Linked DNA regions of Callithrix jacchus. The protein of the gene in region 2 interacts with the protein of the main gene of each other region in a biochemical or structural test. Links are inferred from orthologs where the notes say so. Each region holds a gene or a part of one and is shown on either strand. Other genes may lie near its edges. The genes, in order: WNK4, OXSR1 and WNK1.

What was found.
Region 1: the proteins of OXSR1 (region 2) and WNK4 are reported together in a solved structure, tested with the Homo sapiens proteins (2 studies listed by BioGRID and IntAct, with this or other methods). The link is inferred for Callithrix jacchus from reciprocal best matches to the Homo sapiens genes OXSR1 and WNK4.
Region 3: of the proteins of OXSR1 (region 2) and WNK1, one has a biochemical effect on the other in vitro, tested with the Homo sapiens proteins (2 studies listed by BioGRID and IntAct, with this or other methods). The link is inferred for Callithrix jacchus from reciprocal best matches to the Homo sapiens genes OXSR1 and WNK1.

The regions. Positions count from the first base shown.
Region 1 is NC_133506.1:121,107,403-121,115,435, forward strand, and holds the start of WNK4 (serine/threonine-protein kinase WNK4), read right to left. Parts: upstream 6,825-8,033; 5' UTR 6,736-6,824; coding exon 6,121-6,735; intron 5,148-6,120; coding exon 4,896-5,147; intron 4,696-4,895; coding exon 4,523-4,695; intron 3,495-4,522; coding exon 3,274-3,494; intron 3,020-3,273; coding exon 2,862-3,019; intron 2,373-2,861; coding exon 2,284-2,372; intron 2,204-2,283; coding exon 1,987-2,203; intron 1-1,986. UniProt on the Homo sapiens protein: Serine/threonine-protein kinase component of the WNK4-SPAK/OSR1 kinase cascade, which acts as a key regulator of ion transport in the distal nephron and blood pressure.
Region 2 is NC_133518.1:76,077,246-76,084,813, reverse strand, and holds part of OXSR1 (serine/threonine-protein kinase OSR1), read right to left. Parts: intron 4,116-7,568; coding exon 4,006-4,115; intron 1,791-4,005; coding exon 1,689-1,790; intron 1,040-1,688; coding exon 906-1,039; intron 1-905. UniProt on the Homo sapiens protein: Effector serine/threonine-protein kinase component of the WNK-SPAK/OSR1 kinase cascade, which is involved in various processes, such as ion transport, response to hypertonic stress and blood pressure.
Region 3 is NC_133510.1:14,065,231-14,072,798, reverse strand, and holds the end of WNK1 (serine/threonine-protein kinase WNK1), read right to left. Parts: intron 7,481-7,568; coding exon 7,439-7,480; intron 5,624-7,438; coding exon 5,597-5,623; intron 4,110-5,596; coding exon 3,922-4,109; intron 3,462-3,921; coding exon 3,144-3,461; 3' UTR 515-3,143; downstream 1-514. UniProt on the Homo sapiens protein: Serine/threonine-protein kinase component of the WNK1-SPAK/OSR1 kinase cascade, which acts as a key regulator of blood pressure and regulatory volume increase by promoting ion influx.

The DNA.
Region 1 (8,033 bases), on a different chromosome or scaffold from region 2:
AGGAAACCAACACTTCCTGTTTACCCACTATGTCTGCTAACCGGCAGCTCCTTACATTATCATCACTAGATCCAACAACCTTGTGGGATAAATCTTACTATCCTATTTTAGAGATTAATGAAGTGGCCGGTTCATAGTCATATAGTAAGTCAGTGGCTTCCAATGGGGAGAAGAGACATTTGGCAATATCGAGACATTTTTAGTTGTCACAACTGGAGGGTAAGTGTTACTGAATCTAGTGAGTAGAAGCCAGGCTTTCTTTTCAACACCCTACAATGCACAGGACAGTCCCTAAAACAAAGATGTCAACAGTGCCAAGGCCAAGAATCCCTTGTCATCAGTGGATCAGATTTGATCTCAGGTCAGGTTGGGCAGTGCTATGGAGACTTACTCTAAATTTCTAACACATTCTCAGGTTCTTGACCCACCATAGGTTGTCTCCACCCTTGCAAGTGTCATCTCTGTATTAGAAATCCCATACCTGGGGCAGGGCACAGTGGTTCACACCTGTAATCCCAGCACTTTGGGAGGCTGAGGCAGGTAGATTACCTGAGGTCAGGAGTTCTCGAGACCAGCCTGGCCAACATGGTGAAACCCTGTCTCTACTAAAAATACAAAAATTAGCTTGGCATTGTGGCTTGTGCCTGTAATCCCAGCTACTCGGGAGGTTGAGGCAGGAGAATCGCTTGAACCCAGGAGGTAGAGGTTGCCATGAGTTGAGATAGTGCCATTGCACTCCAGCCTGAGTGACAGCGGGACTCCATCACTCCCCCCAAAATCCCATACTCCCTTCAGGACTTCCTAAGCCAGCCCCAGGCTTCTGCCCTTGCATCTTATGCCTCTTCTCTTCTACCAGCTTCCATTCATCACTGCCTCATTCCTTTTAGCCACAAGCTTTGGTGAGTGAGTAAAGGAGGTGGAGCAGGGTAACCTGATTTAAAATCTGAACCACCTCAGTTTCAATCCAGCTGTTCCACTTACTTACTTGAGGCTCTGGACAAGGTATTCAACCTCTCTGAATTTCCATTTCTTCATCAATAAGTTGACATAAAACTGCTCCGTATGCAGGATGGGTAGCAAAGCTCAAATGCATGTGAAAATGGCTGTTGTTTTTTTTCTAGATGGAGTTTTGCTCTTGTTGACCAGGCTGGAGTGCAGTGGCGTGATCTTGGCTCACTGCAGCCTCTGCTTCCTAGGTGCAAGCAATTCTCCTGCCTCAGCCTCTGAGTAGCTAGGATTCCAGGTGCGTGCCACCATGCCCAACTAATTTTTTGTATTTTTAGTAGAGACAGGGTTTTATCATGTTGGCCAGGCTGGTCTCCAACTCGTGACCTCATGTGATTCACCCACCTCAGCCTCCCAAAGAGCAGGGATTACAGGTGTGAGCCACTGTGCCTGGCAACAGTGCTTTAAGCCATGTACAGATATGGGCTATGAATAAGCTCTATGTGCCAAGCATTGCCAGGGACAGAAGAATCAATAAAACACAGTCTCTGTCCTCAGGGAGTTTATAGTTCAGTGGAGAAGAAAGATAGGAACTTATTCAGGTTTAAGACAGGACCCATGGTGATGAGTGCTGTAACCAAGAACCTGCTGAAGTGGAAAGGAGCATTTAAGTTGGACTCCAGAGGGGATGGCTTTCCAAAATGGATGGATCTGATCATGTTGGAAGAAAAAGAACAAGAGGGAGGGAGGAAAGAGGGAAAAGATAAATTGGCAAAAAAGGCATTCCAGGAAGAAAGGCTAAGCTGGAGGTAAAACAGGGACCCTGGAGGACCCAAGGCTCCCTTTTGTAAAGGAAAACTGGGTGTGCATGCGCCTGAGGTAGGGCTGGAGAGGCAGGGAGACGCTGCAGGATGTCTTGAGAGCCGGGAGGTGGCCTGCCCCCATCGCTGCCACCTCTCCTGCGCCCATCCCTGTTGCACTATCCCCTCCGGTCAACGTCCTTTACACGCCCAGTGGCAGTACAGTCTGTCCTCCGCTCACCATCTCCTGTGCCACCTCCTCGGCCGCGTCCCGGCCCAGCTGGAACAGGAACTCGATGGCCTGGTTGTCCCGTGGGCGCCCCCCGCGCCGCGAGTCCTCCATGCGCAGCCAGAGCTTGAGGCCCGGCTTCTCGCCGTCGTCCTCCTCCGCTAGTTCCACGTGCACACCGCGCTCCTCTCTGAAGAAGGCGTGGGCCAGGAGGTCCTGGATGGTGAACCTGAGGGTGAGGCGTGGGTGAGCCGAGCCCGCCGTGGCCTGGGCCCCTACTCTACCCACTCTCTGCCCTTTCACTCCCACCTCTCGTTCTTATCCGTGCGTATGCAGCCTTCAATGATCTCCTTCACCTCGGGTATCTTCACCTTGTAGAAGCTGTTCGGCTTTGTGCCCTGTGGGGAGGGGTTGCATGACACCTCCCATCCTCTGACCCCCAGCTCTTGGCTTCACACCCCCCCTCCACCCTTTACTCCACTCCTGCCTTAGGCAGCTGCACGTGCAGTTGCAAAAGCTTGACTGCTACTGCAAGATTTGATTTCAAATCCCAGTCCCCCCAACCAACCCAAGTATTTACAGTGTGACCTTGAACAAGTCTCCCACTGTTTCTTCATCTGTAAATTGCAGGGAGGAACATTTGCCCTGCTCACCTCGACAGGCAGCTGGGAGGATTGGATGTGAGACTGGATGTGAAATTGTGAACTCTTGGGAGCACCACACACATTATTATTCTAAATAGCATGGATATCCTTCTGGGTTCACCAAGGCATCTCTGTGTCTAGCCTGTTTTTGTGCAGGCAAAGGGCATTGACTGTGGGCTGGCCGGGCAGGAAAATGGGAAGTGGACCTGGAATTCCCATTCCTGCCAACCCCATCCCTCTCACCGAAGTGACCTTGCGGTAGATTTGTGCGGCATTCTGGCACTCGGAGTACGGGTACTCAGAGGTGGCCATCTCCAGCATGCACATGCCAAATGCATACACATCCACAGCCTCATCATACTTTTCCTCATACATCTCGGGGGCCATGAATTCCGGGGTCCCTGTAGGGTTCACAGCAGGGATCAGGTTGCTGGGTACTCTGGCCTCGTCCTGCCCCTTGGGCTGGGCAGCCCTGGGCAACCCTGGGGTGCAAGTGACCCCAGCCCACAGTGGGGTTGAGGGGGAATGCCATAGATCTCCCCAGCTTCCCTGTGGTCTGGTAATTTTGTGGACCTTGAAGGGCCTTGCTGAGGGGAGGGAGTCCCCAGGTTCTCTTCTGAGGTGGGGGAGGAAGGACCTTCCTGGAGAGACCCACCGATGACACTCTTGGCAAAGGAGGCGCGCTTAAGCGTGGCCAGGCCCAGGTCCCCGATTTTGACAGAGCCAGTAGGGCCCGTGATAAAGACATTGTCGCACTTGAGGTCCCGGTGCAGGATGGGAGGAACCCGGGAGTGTAGGAAATGAAGCCCCCGAAGGATTTGGCGGCTCCAACGCTGAAGGACTCTTGGCTTCATCTCCCGAAACCGCCTCAGGTACCTGGGGGAGGGAGCATAGCCAGGGTCGGTGGGGAACACGTCCTCGGGGGAGGGGCCCTCCACCGGGAAGCTCCCCCCTGCGGCACTCTGCTGCTGCCTCCTCATCTTCTGCCATCATTCTCCTAGCCTATGTCTGCCCGGCCCCGGGGAGAAACTGAGTCAGAGGATGTGGTGGATAGACTTGATGTTACCAAACAGGTTGGGAGGTAAATTGATAGATAGGGCCTCCGCCGAGGTGCTGTGGGAGCGCAGGAAGAGATGACTAACTGCCCCGAGCATGAGGGAGGGCTTCAGAGAGGAAATACTTTTGTATTGCATCTTGAATGATGAGTAGAAGCTCAAAGGTGAAAGGGGGAAGGGATGGAAACTTTCCAGGCAGACAGGACACCATGCTCAAAGGCACGGAAAAAGCCAGGGCAGGGCAGAGTGGGAGGAGGTCCCAGGAATTCAGTGTGTCTAGAACTTAGGCTGAAAGTGGGGCTGTATCCTAAGCTTGGCAAAGGAGGCACGCTTGAGCGTGTCCAGTGTGAGCAGATGAGCCCATGTGGGTTTTATCCCGAGGACATGAGAAAACCTGAAGGGGTTTTAAGGAGGGGAGTGACAGTTCAGATTTTTGACTGGGAAAGATCCTCCAGGCTGCAGGAAGATAGGATCACTTAGAGGGTGGCAGAGTTTGAGAAGACCCTTTAGGGGGCTGCTGCAGGGCTCCAGATCAGCAAGGTGGCATCGAGGTGGTGGCATGGATGGAGCAGTGAAAGTCAGGTAGGGAGAGGTTAAGGAGAGACGTGGAGACAGACTGATGAGGGGGCAGAGAGGAGAGAGAGGAGTCTGGGGAGACACCCACGTTTCTGACTGGAGCTCTGGCTGGACATAGCCACTCACCAAGGGAGGGACACAGGGTGGGTAAGAGGAGATGGTGAGCCTGGTTTTACATCTGGATATAGACAGTTTGAGGAGCCTGGGAGTTCAGGAAGCAGTGGGCACACATCCCAGCCTCCCTCTCCCCACCCACTCATGCGCAGAGCTCACGTCTTGAGCGTGCCCGAGGTCATGAGTTCGGTGACCAGCACGATGCAAACCTGGCCCCTCAGCACTGACTTCCACGAATCGTAGAAGCGGACGATGTTGGGGTGCTGCAGCCCCTTGAGCATCTCCACCTCCTCTGAGAAGCGCTGCCGCTCGGCTCTAGACAGTTTCCGAGTCTGTGGGACGGGGGATGGGTGTCATGTCAGGCCCAGGATCCCCATGGAAAGGAAGGGGGACAACTGGAGTGGGGTTGGGGAAGATGTGAGGGTTGGTTCCCACAGATGGGGTGGGATTAGTGGGATCACTCGCCCAATGGGCTGCAGACCCAGAACTCTCCAACAGTACCCATGTAAGCTGCTCCAAGGACACAACCAACCTGGGCCTGGGGCAGCCCCCTAGACCCCCTGCTGGACACAAGTGCCTTTATGCAGCCCCATCCAGGAGTCCTGAGCTCAATAGTGCCTTTGTGGCTGCCCAGACCGGCCATGGGGCGGGAGGGGGCGCCCAGGGGATGGCAGAGAGCAGGCAGCAGACGGGCAGCAGGAGACCGCTGGCAGGGAATTGGGGCCGGCAAGGGGGTTGGCCCCAGAAACCGGGAACTGCTAGATCCAGACTGAAGGCGGGAGGGCTGTGGAGGGAGGTACAGAGAAAGAAAAGATCCAGGACTAGGCGCCAGGAAGCCACCCCCCCCATAGTTGTCCCGCCCCGACTCCTCTCCCTCCCCTCACCCCCCAGTTTGGCTGCCTCTCCTGGCCTGGCCTAGAGCCTGGGGCGCGGCACTGGCAGGCACAAGGGGTGAGCCCTGTGCCAGGGCTAGAGAGGGACCCTTCCCTTAGGCTTTGTGCCCTTATCTGAATCTGAAGCTTCAGGCCCCAAGTTGACTGGGTTCTCCTAACTCACATGTAGCATGGGAGCGACGGGAGGAAGGTCCTCCTGAAGCCCACGGGTTTAGTGCCTTTAGGTCCGGGAAGGGAGAGCACAGGTAGGCAGTGGGATGAGGAACTGCACTTATTCGAGAGCTGGGACTCCCTATGTCCCCCTCCTTGCAGCTGTGGAGAAGTCCAGAAGTCTGACTGCTCCAGAAGGGTCTAGGGAACCCCACTCTGCTACAACTTCCCTAAATCTTCTGGAGTTGGAAAGGACCCTTGCCCAGCTCCTGGCTTCCCATCTCCCAGCCTCCTGGTCTGCAAATAGGTGGGGGATGGGGAGGAGTGAGGGGATCAAGAGGACCAGGGTCATAACTGAGGATCTCTGGACTTAGGGGAGAGGAAGGGATTGTGGATACCCACCAGCAGGAAACTGACCTGAATTGGCTCCCCAGCCCAACTTCCTATCCTATTTTCCACCTCTCAGGGTTGAGTATGGAGACTTTAAAGTGAGAATGTTCATGCCCATGGGAGAGTCACCAGACACCACCTGCCTCAGTTTCTCCTGCAGCCAGAGTCAGCCAGATCATTCAGGGCAAAGACAGCAGAGGTGTCTGGACATTTGATTGGAAAAATACATCCTTCCCTTGATGCTGTCTCCCCCACCCGCTGTCTCTCATCTAAGACCTCCAGAGTCCCATCCCAAGGTGCCACCGAGGGGGCGCCCAGCCGCACCTGCAGCTCGCACCAGGCCACCTCCACCGTGGTGTCGGTGTCTAGCCCTCGATACACGGTCTTGAAGGAGCCACGTCCAATCTCGATGTCAAACTTAAGGTATCGGCCGTCGGGGGACGTTGCTACAGCCTGGGTCTCCATGTCCTCCTTTTCTTCCTCCTCCCGCCGCCGTTCTAGGGCCACAGCTTCAGGGACCCTCAGCGGCTCCCTGGACCCCGGGCCCACTGCAGAGTCTGGGAGCTCGGGACGCGCGGAGTCTGCAGCCTTCACAGGGGCTTCCTCGGCCCACGTGCCCTCGGGGGGTTCTTTGGAGCTAGGCGGTGGGCTCCTCGCGGGGCCAGGACCAGCGGGGTCCGGAGGATCGGGGGGTTCCGGAGAGGGTGAGGTTGGCAGGGACCAAGAGCTCAGGAGCCCCAAGTCGACTGAGCTACGGCGGCTGAGACGAGAAGTGCGCGGCCGGGGCTCTGCCTTCCCGGAGAAGCGGCGCGCTCGGCGAGGATGGGGCCCGGGGCGGGGCGGCCCCGCGGAGGCAAGAGGCTGCGGCGGCCGCAGGGCCAGGTCGGCCTCAGTCTGGGACGTGGGGACGGCGGTCTCCGTGGCCGGCTGTGCCAACATGAGGAAGCGCAGAGCGCCGAAGGGCGGAAAGCCAGACGGTCGGAGAGGAGGCAGCCTGACAGGCGGACCCGCTGGGTGCGCAGCGCTCCAGCTGAGCGGCTGGGGCCCCAGCCCCTGGCTCGGCCCGGCCCCGCCCCTGCCCCGCCCCGCCCCATGGCCCGCCCTTGCCCCCCAGGCCACCCCTCCGAGTGGCTCGGGCGGTGTGGATGAGCAGCCCCTCACCTTAGTCGCCGCCCCACCCAGCAGTTTCCCCTCATCTCCCGAGCCTCCCCGGCCCCCGGCCGCAGTCTCGCTCCGAGGCCAGAACTGAGTGCGAGACCGCCGTGTCCTCCCGCACTAAGAGTGCGAAAACCTGTTTGTGCGCGGGGATGGGGGGCAGGGGGAGTTGAGGGGGGAGACGACACCCGGATGGGAGAGGAAACGTGCCTGCGGCTCCCGGGCTCTAGTGAGGGGTTATTTAGAGGGAGACTACCACCGGCCTGCACACCCCAGATAAGGCGGCACTACCCCCTCCGAACAGTCCGGAGTAGCCCCAGGCCGACCATACAGAGGTCAGTGGAAAGGTCCGACGTTGTTGTACCTCTGGTCTACATAGGGATGGGTGTGTACTCCCCAGGATAAGTCCCTCCCCCAAATCGAGAGCCCGGTTGGTCATCCATCCCCTCCAGGCCACCTTGGCCGCAGCCTGGCCCTGGCCAGAGTGGCTGTTTTTGCTATGTGGGCTCTCCTTCCTCCCCTTCTGTTTGCCAAAGTCTCCAATAAACCAAAGTCCACATCCGGCTTACGCCCTCAGCTCCCCTTGGCCACAGCGACCCCACCCAGACCAGATGGGTGGAGGGAGGGGCTTCAGAGTAGTTCAGGACTTTCATGGGGGAGATGGTGAGGAACGCGGGAGCCCTTAAGTAACTCCAATTCAGAGAGAAAGCAGTCTGTCCCCAAGCTGTGTTCCATCAGCACTCCTCCACACAGCCCACCCAGCAGATGTATAACCACAGGCTCACTGGAGCCCGCAGGGCTCTGGAGGACCTTTTCTTCTACAAAAGCCATAGGCTTTCTTCTCTCTCCTCTCCTTGGCTGGGATTTACTCGGATGGTAACACTTCACAGCCCTCCCCATACCCATTCCATACTGTAGTAATTAAGAGGCAGGCAGTGGGAGCTGAGATTTTAATATCAGAAATCAGTGTTGGGCCACACCTCTCACTGCCAGGCCCATGGGTCTCCTATCTTCATAATGCCTGGAAGGCTGCCTGCAGCCAGGGCTTCCCCCATCCCCTAGGAAGGATCCAGCACCTGCCT
Region 2 (7,568 bases):
TAAAAGAAAGTGTTCCCTGTCTTTTTTTAACCGTTTACTCCCAAACAGAAAAAAAAATTATAAAAACACAGCTATAAATTTTGCTACCTGTTTTTCTGGCCCTTTCCAACATTTCCAACAATAAATTCTGAAGCCTTATTACATATGCTACAGATGTGATCAACAACATCAGTCTTTCCCTCTTAATGATCTTTAGAGAAACAGATATTAAAGAACTCAGTGCTTAGAAGCTGAGTAGAATACATATGTAAAACAGACAAATAAGATTCAGAGGAAAAAGAGCCCTAAATTAGAAATCAGGACTTTGAGATTAAAGTCCTACCCCTATAACTAAGTACCAGGTGACCTTAAAAATAAAAGGTTGTGCCCAACACGCTACGATTATGTTTCATTCATGAAGCTACACACATTAGATGTTCTTATGTATTTGCTTACTTACCATTCAATCTGTCTCATATTGATAAGGAAACTATCTGAATTTCTGGTCCACTTACTAAAATCCTTTTCTAACATGGAAATAAATATGATTATTTGACACTAAATATAAATTTTCTATGTGCCTTTCCTTTATTCATACTGTAAATGGCATTAAGGCATCCATTTATAAATTTTAAATGCAAATTGAAAACAAACTTCTCAACTAACTTGGCATTTATTAATACAGAATTCACAATGTACAACTTTATAAGGAATTAATCAGGAAAAGGCTGAACTATTTAGGGTACACTGTATGCTACAAAGAGGGCAGAAATCATTTCCAATCTCTACATACTTTCTTAGGGTTTATATTTAGTTCATTTGAATATGTACAAATAATTTCCTCTACATACATGTGTGTGATTCTTAGACTTCTTCACAATGTTTTACTTATTAGAGAGAAAAGTAAACTTTTTCTCATATTTTACCTTTTTTCTGGATCTTTTTGAAGGCACAATGAAATCATTTTTCTAAATGATTTTCCGTATTTTTTCAGCATTTCTTTATCTTGAACACCAGTTTCCAAAGAAGGGGGATCATTCTGCAGTGTCAGCATTAAAACCTGTAAGAATTTTCAGTATACTATAAACTTGTGATGGCTCAGTAAAGTTTACCTATTGTGGTCAAGATTTTTCAATATAGGCACCCCATACCAACATATAACATTTTATTTTCTATCTAAATCAATTGTTTAAAACTCAGAATTTTTATGTGTATTTCACATAAATAACATGCTGTAGATGGTTAGCTTCTCAATACATGCACACAATGGAATATTATTCAGCACTAAAAAGCAAGAAAATTCTGCAATATACTACAACATGGATGAACTCTGGGGACATTATGCTAAGTGAAATACTAGTCATGTAAAGACAAACACTGTGTGATTCCACTTATATGAGGTATTGAGAGCAGTCAAATCATAGAGACAAACAAGGGGCTGAGAAAGAGCGGCAATCAAGAGTTACTATTTAATGGGTACAGAGTTCCAGTTTTCAAATGAAAAGTTTGGATACAGATGGTAGTGATAACTGCACAGCATTATGAATGCATTTAATACCACTGCACTATACACTCAAAATGGTCAAAGATGATGGTCAATTTTATGATATGTGTATTTTGCCACAATAAAAAAAAATAAAAGACTGGCAAATGGTTGTGAAAAGGAATTGGGACTTGAGCTGGGGTAGTATTTAGAATATGAACCTCACCTTCATTGGTGGATATTTATGATAAGGAGCTGCCCCTGTGGCCAATTCAATTGCTGTAATTCCAAAACTCCAAATATCAGCTTTGAAATCATAACCTCGGACCTGCAAGAACAGATTTGCATGATTATTTTTTAACAGCATAAAAGGACTTTTAAAGGTTAGGTTGTGAGGCCAGGCGCAGTGGCTCATGCCTGCAATCCTAGCACTGTGAGAGGCTGAGGTGGGAGGATTAGGTGGGCTTGAAGCCAGGAGTTCAAGACCAGCTTGGGCAACATGGTGAGACCCATCTCCATAAAAATGTTTTTTAATTAGCTAGGAGTGATGATGTCCACCTGCAGTCCAGCTACTTGGGAGGCTAGCTCAAGCTGAGAAGTTGAAGGCTGCAATGAGCCATGATGGCACCACTGTACTCCAGAGTGAGCGAGAGAGCAAGACTGTCTCTAAAAATAAACAAAAAGGCTAGTTTCTAATGTGTACCAAGAACAATGAAAGTGTTCATAAGCATTAAACCAGTAAAAAATAAAGACACAACGTGTATGTTCCCCAACAGTGAAGAAACTGTTAAGTATGGTATATTAAAAAAATCAGTCAGCTAAAAGCAGTATTTACTAATACTATATGAACATGTAAGAAACATTTGTGATAAAACATGAAGAAAAAAAATTGCTCATGAGTCCTGAAACTTTTACAAACAGTAAAATACTGGAAAAAACTAAAACAAAATGTTTTGTAGTGGGGTGGCTTTTTTGTTTTCCAAAGGATCTACATTATGGCACCTTAATTTCCACAATGAAAAGGTTACAAAGATTGTGAATACTTTTAAACTTTTTAGAGTGAATATGTTGCCAAATTTCTCTACTGTCACCAGCAAATTATATGGCTATAAATTTTAATTTTCTATCCTAAGCAATATAGGAGAAATAGGTTTGGGGAGTGTGTAGTGTGGGCTTAAAACCAGGAGTTCAAGACCAGCCTGGGCAACATGGTGAGACTCCACCTCCACAAAAAAGACCTAAAAGTAAGGATCAATAGTATGTGCTGCCTTGTCCTCTGGTAAAACTGAAGGGCCTTTAGTGACCTAAGGCCCCCTCCCCACTCTGCTCTTGCAGATAATGTCTCCTAGCCCGACAATCCTCCTTAGCAAATGACCAGGTACAGTTCCTGCTTGGCCCTGAGAAGCAAGTTTCAGCTCCCTGTCAGTCAATCATATCTTCTCAAGGAAACCAAGGGTCATCACACTCTGCTGGTACTACAAACCCCGTCTCCAAAGCCCCTTCTCATTCATTCTGCTACTGAGTGCAACCCCACTGGTCCAGCATGGCATGCAAGTGTCCTCCTCCCCAGGCTGTGAGTATATGTGACTATGAGACAGCTATCAATCTCGTCTGTCCAGTGTCAGGTGCTGTACGTTCAGCCATTCCCATAACTTTACAGTGGGAATCCTTCCCTCACCAACAGGGTGAATGCAGGTGATTAAAACAGAGTCAAAATGAATTTAGTTCAAAGCATACTGAGTTTGATGTATCTATAAGGCATTTATGTGAAGCATTTATTAAGAACTAGCAATACCTATATGGAGGTTTTGGGGAAAAAAAACTGGACATAATTTAGAAATCATTAATAAGAAGCACAAATGGGAATACCTAGTGAGTATTTGCAGTCAGAGAAGAGAAAAGCTCAAGAATAAGGTCGTGGGAAGCAGTGTCATTCAGGAGAATGAGAGCCAGCAAAGTCAGAGGAATGGCTTGACAAACAAGACAAGAATGAAGAAACAACATTAAGGAGGCTAGGAACGTGAATAAAGTTGGCATGGTCAACAGTTTCAAATATCACCAATCAGACAAGTTAAATAAGGAGTAAGAAATGAGCTCTGGATTTGAGAAGTAGCAGAGTTTCCTTAAAATAATGGGATGAGTGACACCAGACTGCAACTGTTTGAAGGGGAAATGGGAAATGGGAACATAGAGACAACCAGTCCTTCGAGAAACACAGCAATAAATCTTGATGTAAAAATTAGTCTAATTTGTACTAATTTGTACAAATTATTGTACTAATTTGTACAAATTATTGTACTAATTTATACTAATAAAATTAACACAAACCTTGATTATATTATTCCTGAGTTTCATATATCCTTTGCAAAGTCCTAGAGTGTTTTTGTTATTTTGTTTTCAAGGGTGGACTAAAGTCCTAACCAAGAAACCGGGACATGTTTCCCAAAGCTAACCTGGTATGCCAAAGAAAAGCAAACACTTAAGTTTTCTCAGTTTCATAACAAAGCCCTAACCCATTTAAAACAGACAAAAAGACACAGTACCTGTTCCATAACTTCAGGTGCCATCCAACAAGGGGTGCCAACAAAGGTCTTTCTCACTTTATTTCGGGTAATATCACCACCAGTTGCTAAAAAAGCACTAACCCCAAAGTCTGAAACAGAATACAACAGCAAGGTTGTATGAAAGTGCATCAACTCTCATAAATGAATAGGCAAACAATAAAATGTAGTCACCATCCTATATCTAAGATTAGAAGCATGATAGTTTCTCATCTTTTTGCTGAACTTCTTGGCTAAATTAAGACATAGCTTAGACTGGGAGAAGTGGCTCACGCCTATTATCCCAACACTCTTGGGAGGCCAAGGCAGGAGGCTCGCTTGAGCCCAGGAGTTCATCTTTGCAAAACAAAACAAAAACAACAAAAAAGACATAGTTTAGCAGGTGCCTCACTCCATTCCTCTCCAACGCCACGTTTTCATGTTCTCAGATTTTCCTTCTTGCTCTAATCCATTCTACATACCACTATTAGATTCATTCATTCATTCATTTTTAAATTATCACTTTGACATGACCCTTTCAGCTCAGAAAATCCTACAGAATGAAATTCAACCTTTTTAACTTAGTATTCAAAGAGCTCTCAAGAACTTGGCCCCAAATAAATTAAAGTTCATAATTCTTAATACATATCCTAACTTCCTTCACCTCTTAGTGGATATATGACAATGGTAAACTTAGTTCACTTCTCTAAGCCTCAGGATTTTCTCTACGAAGATTTTATCCCACAATACTGAAGCCAAAGTACCAGTCACTAATACGGAGGACAGCTTGTCTCTTCAGGATCCCTCTTTTTCTGTAATTAGCCCTGGGTGTATATCTGTACTCCCTCACCTTGACCCCTGGGCATACTTGATTTGAGCCAGGGTTAGACACCTTAATCCAAGGCAGGCCTATCTTAAATCTTCTAGAAATGTGAAGCTTGAATGGACAGACAAGGAAACTAAGGGTCAATGAAGCTGAGCCATGCTAACAGCATCCTGAAGGTCACCAGCACAACTGGGTTCCTGCCCATTCTGAGGCTTAGCTGTTCAGTTGATTTTTTTATTCTGTGTACTTCCTAGTTTATTTCAATAATTCCTGCTTTGTTAAGTCAGCCGGTGATAATTTCCAATACAACCAAAAGAACTTTAACTAATATAGTGAGGCTCTTATATACCATATCCAACTTTTGTACACCTTTTCTGATTCCACTTTTGTGTCTGTTCCAGAACACTCTGCATTAAGTAAAATGAGCCCATATTTGTCCATAATTTATTGTATTTTCAAATTTATCTGTTTTCAGAATTTCTATTTCATACTTTTTTTTCAATTTGAAAATACAATAAATTATGGACAAACTGATTGTTTGAAGGATAATTTTAGCATGGTAAACTTTAAAATTCCAGATTCAGAAGTCTATGAATTCTGCCACTTTCAAGCAATTTATTTGAAATAATTGCTTGTCTATACGGTACAACTGAAAAATAACAAGTCAATACAGGTTTAAAAAACAATAATCTTGTCTGAATGTACTTAGAATTATGAAAAATTTAAAAAAACAATAATTTTGGCTAGGCACAGTGGCTCATTCCTGTAATCCCAGTACTTTGGGAAGCTGAGGCATGAAGAGCAGTTGAGGCCAAAAGTTTGAGACCAGCCTGGGCAACAAACACAGTGATGTGAGACCCCATGTCTATAAAAAATAGAAAATTAGCTGCGCATGGTGGAGGGCACCTGCAGTCCTAGCTACTTGGGAAGCTGAGGTAGGAGGACTGCTTGAGCCTAAGAGTTGGAGGCTGCAGCGAGCTACGTTCACCCCACTGCACTCTGGCCTAGATGACAGAGCAAGACCCTTTCTCTAAAATAATAATAATAACAGTTTTCAAAGCTCTCAAACTGGCAAATTTCTAAGAACTTTAAAATGCTGTTCCAATTGTAACAACAATAATAAAGGAAACATTTTTAAGTGCACTGGAAAGGGGAAAAAGTACGTTCAGTACATTCAGCTCTGCCACTAGTCAGCTGAACTTGGGCAGGTATTTTCAATCTTTGTGCTACAATTTCTTCATCTATAAAAAGGAGGCAATAACAGTAGCTACTCAACAAGGTTGTTGTTGAGGATTAAATGAATTAATAATATACTTGAAATAGTCCCTGTAATATATTTTAATACTAAACACTCAATAAGTACTAGGTATTTTTATCACTAACTAGAAAGAAAGCCGTGCCTTAAAATACTTAAATACGATAAAGACTCAAACAATTTATACACAACATATTTTTTAGGTTCAATTATAAAGAGTTTTTACTTTTTAAAAACCTACTGAAAACCTTCAAGTAGCTTTAAAATATGCAGAATTTTAAATGCAGAACTTAATAATGATCCAGAATTTTTGGATCTTCAGCTAGTATACCTCTGCTTGTTTCCAAGTGAACCCTGAAGACTAGTTAAAACATTTAGCTAAGGAATGTAAGTGAGACTATCCACTTTACCAAAATATTCTTGTTAAACAACCTGCACAGCTACAATGCCAAGGAAACATAATCAATCAAACTATAAAGTTAAGAACAGAAACCAAAGAGCAAAAATGCCATCTGCCTTTTGTTTTAAATTGCCAAATAAAGAGAAACAGTAACTTCAATGTGAAAAAAAATCACATAGCTCCTTTGTTAATACAGTTTCAGTTAAAGTACAAGCTGGACTTTGGTACCTACTATGTGACAGGATCAACAGTAATGATCAGGCCGGGCATGGTGGCTCACGCCTATAATCCCAGCACTTTGGGAGGCTGACACAGATGGATCACCTGAGGTCAGGAGTTCGAGACCAGCCTGACCAACAGGGAGAAACTCCTTCTCTACTAAAAATACAAAATTAGCCAGATGTGGTGGTGCATGCCTGTAATCCCAGCTACTCGGGAGGCTGGGGCAGAAGAACCCCAGAAGCTAAGTTTGGCGGTGAGCTGAGACTGTACCACTGCAATACAGCCTGGGCAACAAGAGCGAAACTCTACCTCGAAAAAAAAGAAAAAAGAAAAAAAGTAATGATCAAAGAAGACAAGGTCCCCCAGCCTTTTGTGCAACTTCTAAAAACAGAAGGTGGAATCAGGCAATTATAATATATTATAATAAGTGCTATCTATAATAAGGTGCAAAAAAATTAGAAACCCCTAAACTACAAAACTCTTAAAACACAGGAGCAAAGCTTCATGACACTGGAGTTAGCGATGATTTCTTAGACATAACAGCAAATTCCAGGCACCAAAAAAAGTAGATCAATCAAAATTTAAAAATTTTTGTGCATCAAAGGTCACTATCAACAGAGTGAAAGGCAACCCACAGACTGGGAGAATATATTTAGCAAATCATACATCTGACAAGGGATTGAATTCCAAAATATGTAAAGAACTCCTACAATTCAACAACCACAAACACTCCAATTTAAAAATGGGCAAAGGAATTAAGTAGTCATTTCTCCAAAGAAGATATACAAATGGCCAATAAGTACATGAAAAGATGTTCAACATCACTAATCAATAGAGTAATACAAATCCAATTACAATGAGGT
Region 3 (7,568 bases), on a different chromosome or scaffold from region 2:
AGTGGTGCGATCTCTGCTCACTGCAACCTTCACCTCTGGGGTTCAAGCGATTCTCCTGCCTCAGGCTCCTGAGTAGCTAGGATTACAGGCGCTGTGACCATATCCGGCTATTTTTTTGTCTTTTTAGTAGACAGGGTTTCTCAGTGTTGGTCAGACTGGTCTAGAATTCCTGACCTCAAGTGATCTGCCTGCCTTGGCCTCCCAAAGTGCTGGGATTACAGGCATGAGCCACTGCGCCCAGCCAATTTAGTTTTTTTAAAGACGTATTTTGGACTGGGCTGTGCCTATCTTGAAGCAGTGACTTCTTTTTTTTGGCTCACAGACATATTTATGGGAAGCCGTGAACCGAGATAAGGAAGTCTGAAATACTAGCCAGCAGCCGACTGTTCTATTCCTTTGGAAGATGAAGAGGTAGCAAAAGAGCCCCCAAAAATTAGGAATCAGGTTATAAATTGCACTTAAAATAGTGCCAATGAAAATGTGAAGGAATTTTCTGTAAATGAAACCCCACAGCTCAACAAAAGCAAGTTTGGTTTATTTGAATGGTTTCATTAAATAAGTCTACAAAGGTAACAAACGGAAGCACAAAGCGCAATCTTACAAGAAGCGCAACACCCAGAGTTAGTGCAAAATGTACAGTTAACGGCTGCTGAGAAACCCCCGAAGTTTGAATTTTTATTTTTTTAAACAGTGTACATTGTTAAATAATGTAAGGAAAACACTTATAATTCAGAAAGTTTTTTTTAATGTGGAAAAAGATATTCAAAGTGTACTATTAACACAAAAATAATTTAAACAGTTCAGTAGCACTAGGTCGTTCCTCTAGGCTTCAGTTATTTCATCCGCAGGAAGATGAATTAACAGTAAATAAAACCAGTTCTTTTTGTGTATGAGTGAAAAAAATCTCAAAATTATTAAATTCAAATAACAAATGCTAACGTGCTGCATTAGGCTCCCCTGCTCCTCCGGTATACAGTATTTTCACTCTTAGGTGGTCCCTTTCTCAGTTACTCGGCTCCTTGTTGGTTCTATCCTTACTCTCCACAAGCTATATAAGCAGAGAATAAATAAGTAAATATTTTTAAAGCAGGGATTGAAACCCCCGCCCTTTTCCTTTCTACCTCTTTAAAACCTTCAGCTCTCATTTGCATACTTAGGGCCGGAGACCAACTTACGAAGGGAAGCAGGGCCCATAAGGAATGAACAGGGTACAGAGAGCCTCAGCTTCTTTCTGTGGTGGTGGTGATTCCCGGAATATGCCATTGACGTGGGTAAAAGGTTGGAAATGTCAGTTTCCCAACTACGCGTCAAGAAGCACCCCAAAATTAAGAGTTTTAGCTTCTTTGTCCGTCTTCAGAGATAACAAAGATCCCAAACATAGCCAATTAGGACAGTATTTCCGGAAAGCTCTGAAAACAACAGAACTACCCATTACAAGTAGGCATAGCACTAAATAACACTGATTGGTTGCAGTTATTACTTAAGGGGAATATCTGACAATGTGAGCATATTAGTTGTATTTCTGGAAATAAAGGTGGCACAATAGATTATGATCCTGCAACCATTTGGACATCATAAAGGAAATGAGTAGGAATAAGTATCCTTTCCTACGATGATTATTAATTCAGATGTGGAAAGATTCTCTCTCCACAAAATATAGTACCCCAAGCTGAGGACTGCATGGTACATGTGCAACAAGATTGGAAAGCAATCCAGTTTTTCTTAGAGCAACTTTCTCCATCTGTGACTTTTCATTATCAGGTTCCCCAACTTGATAACTAGCCCCCACCCCCTTTGCTTTATGTTCAATTTCTTCTGTTCTGTTCACGTCTGTTCAAGCCTAGCTCAAATAAAGGTTTATATGACAGTCATTGGCCAGGTATCATGTATCTTCCAAACAAGTTTGTTTCCTCATTCTTTAGTCTTTGTCTTTCACCCAGCACATACCATTCTTGGTCTTTTAAGTTGCCCAATTTTGTTGTAACACCCCCTCCTCACTCTTCCTGAAACAAAACTTTGTTTTTAACCACTAATGCCAACTTAACTTCCCACCTACTCATCTTACACCTGCTCTAGACAAAGTTGTTGAAGGACTTAAAAAAATACTTTTTCTATTTCCCTTTGGCATATCCACTGCTGGGGTCACATGGACCTAAGATTTCCTTCCACATGCCCTTTATTGATCTGGGGTCTGATAAGTTGATGCTAATGGCAGAAGCAATATAAGTAAGTCCAAGGCACTAAAATGTCCAGCAAGCAACACTGGGAAACAGAAGTATTCAAGTACAGTAATTTATACAATTTTACATTCACATTTATTTATCTAATACAATGGAAATACAAAGGAAAAAGTTAAAGTGTCTCAATAAGTAAAGGACAGAGCTAGCTTTTTTTTTGGAACTTTTTAAACGTTTCATATTTTACTCTTAAAACTACTGTTGTCCAACAACATTTTATATATCACAGTGTTTCCACATCAAAACTGATGGCAAAGTTACATGTCCGCAGGGAACTTATTTTTTTTTTCCTAATTGCTAATGCTGCAGTCAAAGCTGCTAGTATCTTTTGCTTAAAGCACTAATGACCTATCATAAGAAAGGGCTGCACCCCAGTCCCCTGGTATTTTTCACTGGGTTCTAAAGAGCAAAGAAAAAATCAAAAAGAGAAGGGGGGAAAAAGGGAGAAGGGCAGGGTAGGAGAGAGCCCAATAGGTTGTTTTTGTCTTGTGGTTCAGATTCTTGAGGGAGTAAAGGATTTGGGGCATGTACCAAAATCAAGAACTCCACCCACTCAAAATTACAGATGGGGTTTGATTTTACATTGAGTTCTCTAGCTTCCTTATGAACAAGACTTTCCTAGCCCTCATCCTCACTACTGAGTACAAATAAACAGGAAAGCATGGTCTGAAGCTGCCCCTTTACAAGAAAGCTGCTCTTTCCTTCCTCTCCTACTCCAGTTAGTAGAGCAGGGGAGACTCTCCATTCTGAGGACTCAACGTGGAATTAAAAACATTCCCTTCTGGCAAGAAATAACCAGTTAAATGCAGCAGTAGTAGTTAGTATATAGGCTACTCCCACCCCCCACCCCTCCCCACCAGCATTCCATCTCCTGCCCCCAGATCTATTCAGTTAATGTCTCTAGGTCTAAGTGGTCCGCAGGTTGGAACCTGGGGGGTTGCTGATGGATTTCTGCAAATTGCTGATGTTGAAATTCTGCAAGGAGGCAGTTCCCACAGGTTGGAACTGGCCAAGTGGCTGTGGTGCTGGGCCACCTGTCCCACTCCACTGAGCGCCAAATGGGGTAGCTGGAAAGCCATACTGCTGTGGGGGGCACATAGATTTGGTGAAGTGACCTAGAGAGGTAGCTGATGCTGCAGAGATGGGGGCAGAGCCACCCAGGTTCGAGGTCATGGAGGTGCACAGTTGCCCAGGTGCAGAGAACTTCCTTGCCATTCCAGGGCCCTGAAAACAAAACAACCGCATGTCAAGTCTGGTGTGGGTTTAAGAGATAAGGGTGTAAAATGTGTGGTGCTAACATATACTTCTGGTCTAATCCTGTAAGATACAGCAAAAGCGTCTTCTATAGTATTCATTGGCTCTTTATATTTACCAAGTAAGGGTGAAAATAATCCTGATGAGAGGGGAGGGATGTCATGTGCATATGTGTGTCTGTGTGTGTAGTTCAGGATGAAGACGAGAAAAGGAAGAAGAAAAAGTTGAGCTGACCAGTAAGATTAGAGATTCAGGGAAGAAAAAATAAAAGGGTACCTGGGGGATTTTTGCCTTGTTTTTCTAAAATGTTAAAATTAATGAGCTACTAAAGAAGGTCCTGGTATAAGACATTAAGCAGCAATCTAGTAGTTTATATCAACTGGATTCAGATGTGTGTTATGTGATTCTCTATGATAAAAGAGAGACTTACCTCATAATTCATGTGCCCTTTGCTTCCTCTCCTGCCTGACAGATTCATGGCATCTCGGGCCCAATTGTCTACCAACTTGTGCAGGTCATCTGTGAACGTGCCCTTCCTGCTGGACGTCATGGCAGGAGGCTGAGCTTGGGCAGCTTGGCTGTTCACTGTTCCCCCAACAGTGTTTGTGCTGCTGGTCCCTATGACAGGCAACAGAATACAAGCATTAAAGGGAGCCTAGGTTACAATTTCAGGAAAAGGGAAAACTTCACGGGGTGATGAATGGCAAGCCACAGAATGGGGAGAGGATGAACTGGGAAGCCATGCAAGAAGGGTTCCAAGGTTTTGTTTAGCCACTGGTTTTGGTATAATAGGGTGATGAAAACAGTTTCTCTTCAGTAGCTGCTGATAAGGCTGAACAACTCAGGATGATGGTAGGTAACACAAGGCAAGGGCTTCTTTCACAAAGCACCTAAGAGTACTGGAACTGCTTGCCAGTATGCCATTCCCAGCATCATGTTGCTGATGGAAGTGTGATACGATTAGCAAGGCTTGTTGCTCTGAAATTTTGCAGAATGTAGGACAAAAGAGGATTTCTTGTGCCTTGGGCAAAGTTTAAGTAGGAGTAGGAATAGATGCTTGGCTAAGGAGAAGGGGTTTCCAAGCCATGTGGACACTACCACCTTTTTTTTTTTTTTTTTTTAAGACTTACTCTATTGCCCAGGCTGGAGTGCAATGGCACAATCTCAGCTAACTGCAACCTCCACCTCCTGGGTTCAAGAAATTCTCCTGCCTCAGCCTCCAGAATAGCTGGGATTACAGGCGTGCACCACCAAGCCCAGCTAATTTTTGTATTTTAGTAGAGGCGGGGTTTCACCATGTTGGCTGGGCTGGTCTTGAACTCCTGACCTCGGGTGATCTGCCTGCTTTGGCCTCCCAAAGTGCTGGGATTACAGGCGTGAGCTACCACGCGTGGCTTTTTTTTTTTTTTTTTTTTTTTTGAAGAGCCTCTTCTCTGTCACCCAGGCTGGATACAGTGGCACAATCATGGCTCACTTTCAGCCTCAAACTCCTTCTGCCTCAGCCTCCCAAGTAGCTTGGGACTAGAGGTATGCACCACCATACTCAGTTACCCAGTTAAATTTTTAAATATTTTATACAGACATAATCTCCATATGTTGCTCAGAAACGAACTGAACTGCCGGGCTCAGGCAATCCTGCCATCTCAGCCTCACAAAGTGCTGGGATTACAGGCGTGAGCCACCATGCTCAGTCTAGCCATTCTTTAAATAGAGAGAGGTAATAAGAGAAGTAGCATGCTGTGTTCAGAAAACTTTTTCACCCATAAACATGAACGTGCAAACATAAACTTGAGAGGGGTTAACCTCTCCCAATTTCCTATGAGTAAAGGAACAAGATTACTCATGAGGAAAGGACTGTATGGTGTGCCTGAATCTTTCAACTCCAGGAAGACATGGTTTTCCCGAAGATGACCTCAGTTTCAGTTGACTCAAGGATTCCCACCGTTTCTCCCCACCTTCCCAGAACAGCAAGCACTCCCATGTAGAAGCGACAAGAAAATGCAGCTGAGGCAGGGTGCAAAGGGGAGGCGGAAGCTCTGCGGTTACGATGGAGGAATTCTATTTCTATGGTTTGATGAGAAAGGAAGAAGGAGTCTATGTCCTGCCTGATTTCGGCTCTGCTGGAGGGCACACTGAAGATTATTCGAAGAGGCACGTTTTGGGGAAGAGGGAAAGAAGAGTCATGGTCTTGTCTGTTTTCCTCACCCTCCCCCCGACCTGTTTTACCAGATCTCACTGGTAAGTTGTGAATCACTAGTCTTTAAGATATCCAAGTAAAGCTGGGGGTAAATAAGCAGCATCAGACACAGCAGCACACCTAACGCAACCCTGCCACTTAAAAGCCTGTTATTGACCATCACTGGTCTCAAGTCAAGCTTATATCCTACCACCAAGGGAACGGCACACACAAGCATGTCTGTGCTGGAGTACCAGCTAATTCTGAGGTGAAGCTGTAGAGTGAGGAAGGTCACATGCTTCTTACCACCATGGCAAGACATGAACTATTGCAGTGTGAGTGTTAGCTCACTTCTTGGTGCCTGCTGGAGCCACAAGGGGATGGCTATTGCACATACAGTGTAAAAGGAAGAGTAAGTTCCCCTACAGTATAGAAAACCCAAGTGGAAAAATATTAAAGCACAGGAAACAGCCTTCCATGAACAGCAAATGTGAGAGGGTGGTGAAGTGGGAAGCACAGGCAATGAGGATGAGCAGTCATGACAGTGAGGGTCTCAATCTTGAAAGCAAGCATTTCACATGCATGGGGACTGTCATCCTGTTTAAATGATTATTGCTTGGTGAGCTTGATGTGAGAGTCAATCAAAACAAAAACCAGAAATAATCAGAGGGGAGCAGGGCTGTCAAAAGCTAAAAATACAAGCAGCTTAGGAGACATGACCACTGCTTATACACAAAGAGCTCATGCTGGGAGACACACCTCTCTAGTCTGATGCTAGTCTTTTGCCCTGATGCTGCGAGGCCCCTTTAGAACCAAATTTCACTTTTCATTTTAACCTACATTACCTAATACAGGATTCTCTTCCCACGAGGAAAGAGAAACCACGAGGAAGAGTCAACCATACAGTTAAACTTTCGCATTCTGGATTCTGTATACAGGCTTCCCATTAAAGAATGAAACAAACTTATCTTTTTCTGACCAGAAACTAACTCCTAAGAAAAGGAGAGCTAACTATAAAAGCTATAGAGAATATGCTAACTTCTAAACCTTTTTTAGTTCTTCTGGAAAGCCCCAATAAATAGTATAGACTTACCCTCAAGATTCATTTTTAAATTTCCTCCTGCCATTATAATACATTTTCCCTACTCCCGCACCACTAGATCCTAGTAACAATAACCTATTATGAACCGTAACTTACAGCCCAGCATCCCAAGTACAGAATTTCCCTGTTGACCCTACCTAGAACATTGTAAATGGCCTGCTGGGTTGCCGAACTATCTGTACTTTAATGAGAAGCCATAGTCTAAAAAGACAAACACTACAAAGTGGTGTTTCTCTCCTCACCAATCTAGCAGACATCTCCCACTTCAATGTGAACAAAGGGAGGGCATGGACTTTTGTATGATTAATCACTGCTGAGTTTCCTGTTGGGGTAATAACACTGCCCGGCACATACTTGCTGACTAAAGGATCTCTCTCCCATAGGAACTAGGCATTCCTGATCTCCCTATACACATCCATGGCCATTACCAATCCATGTCTGCCACAAGCTAGGCTGACACGGGGTTATCACTGAGGGCACTAACTGTGAGATAATTTCTTAATCAGCCAGTAATTAGCAGTTAAGCATGTTAAATATTTATTAGAATAAGGTACAGAGATAGATGGAAGTTAGCAATCAGGGAGCTATGAGACTGCAGAGTTCAAAGAACTCATGGTTAACAGGCTTTGCAATCAAGGACCAAAAATAACAGAAAGAAAAGATAATTACTACAGAGCTGGTTGCAAGGACAGACTTTTTTCACCATCTTCCCTGAAGCACAAAGAGAGAAGCAATGTGTTAAAGATAAACATCAGTGTAAAATATTTAGAATCTCCAAACAGCACACAAAGACCCAGCA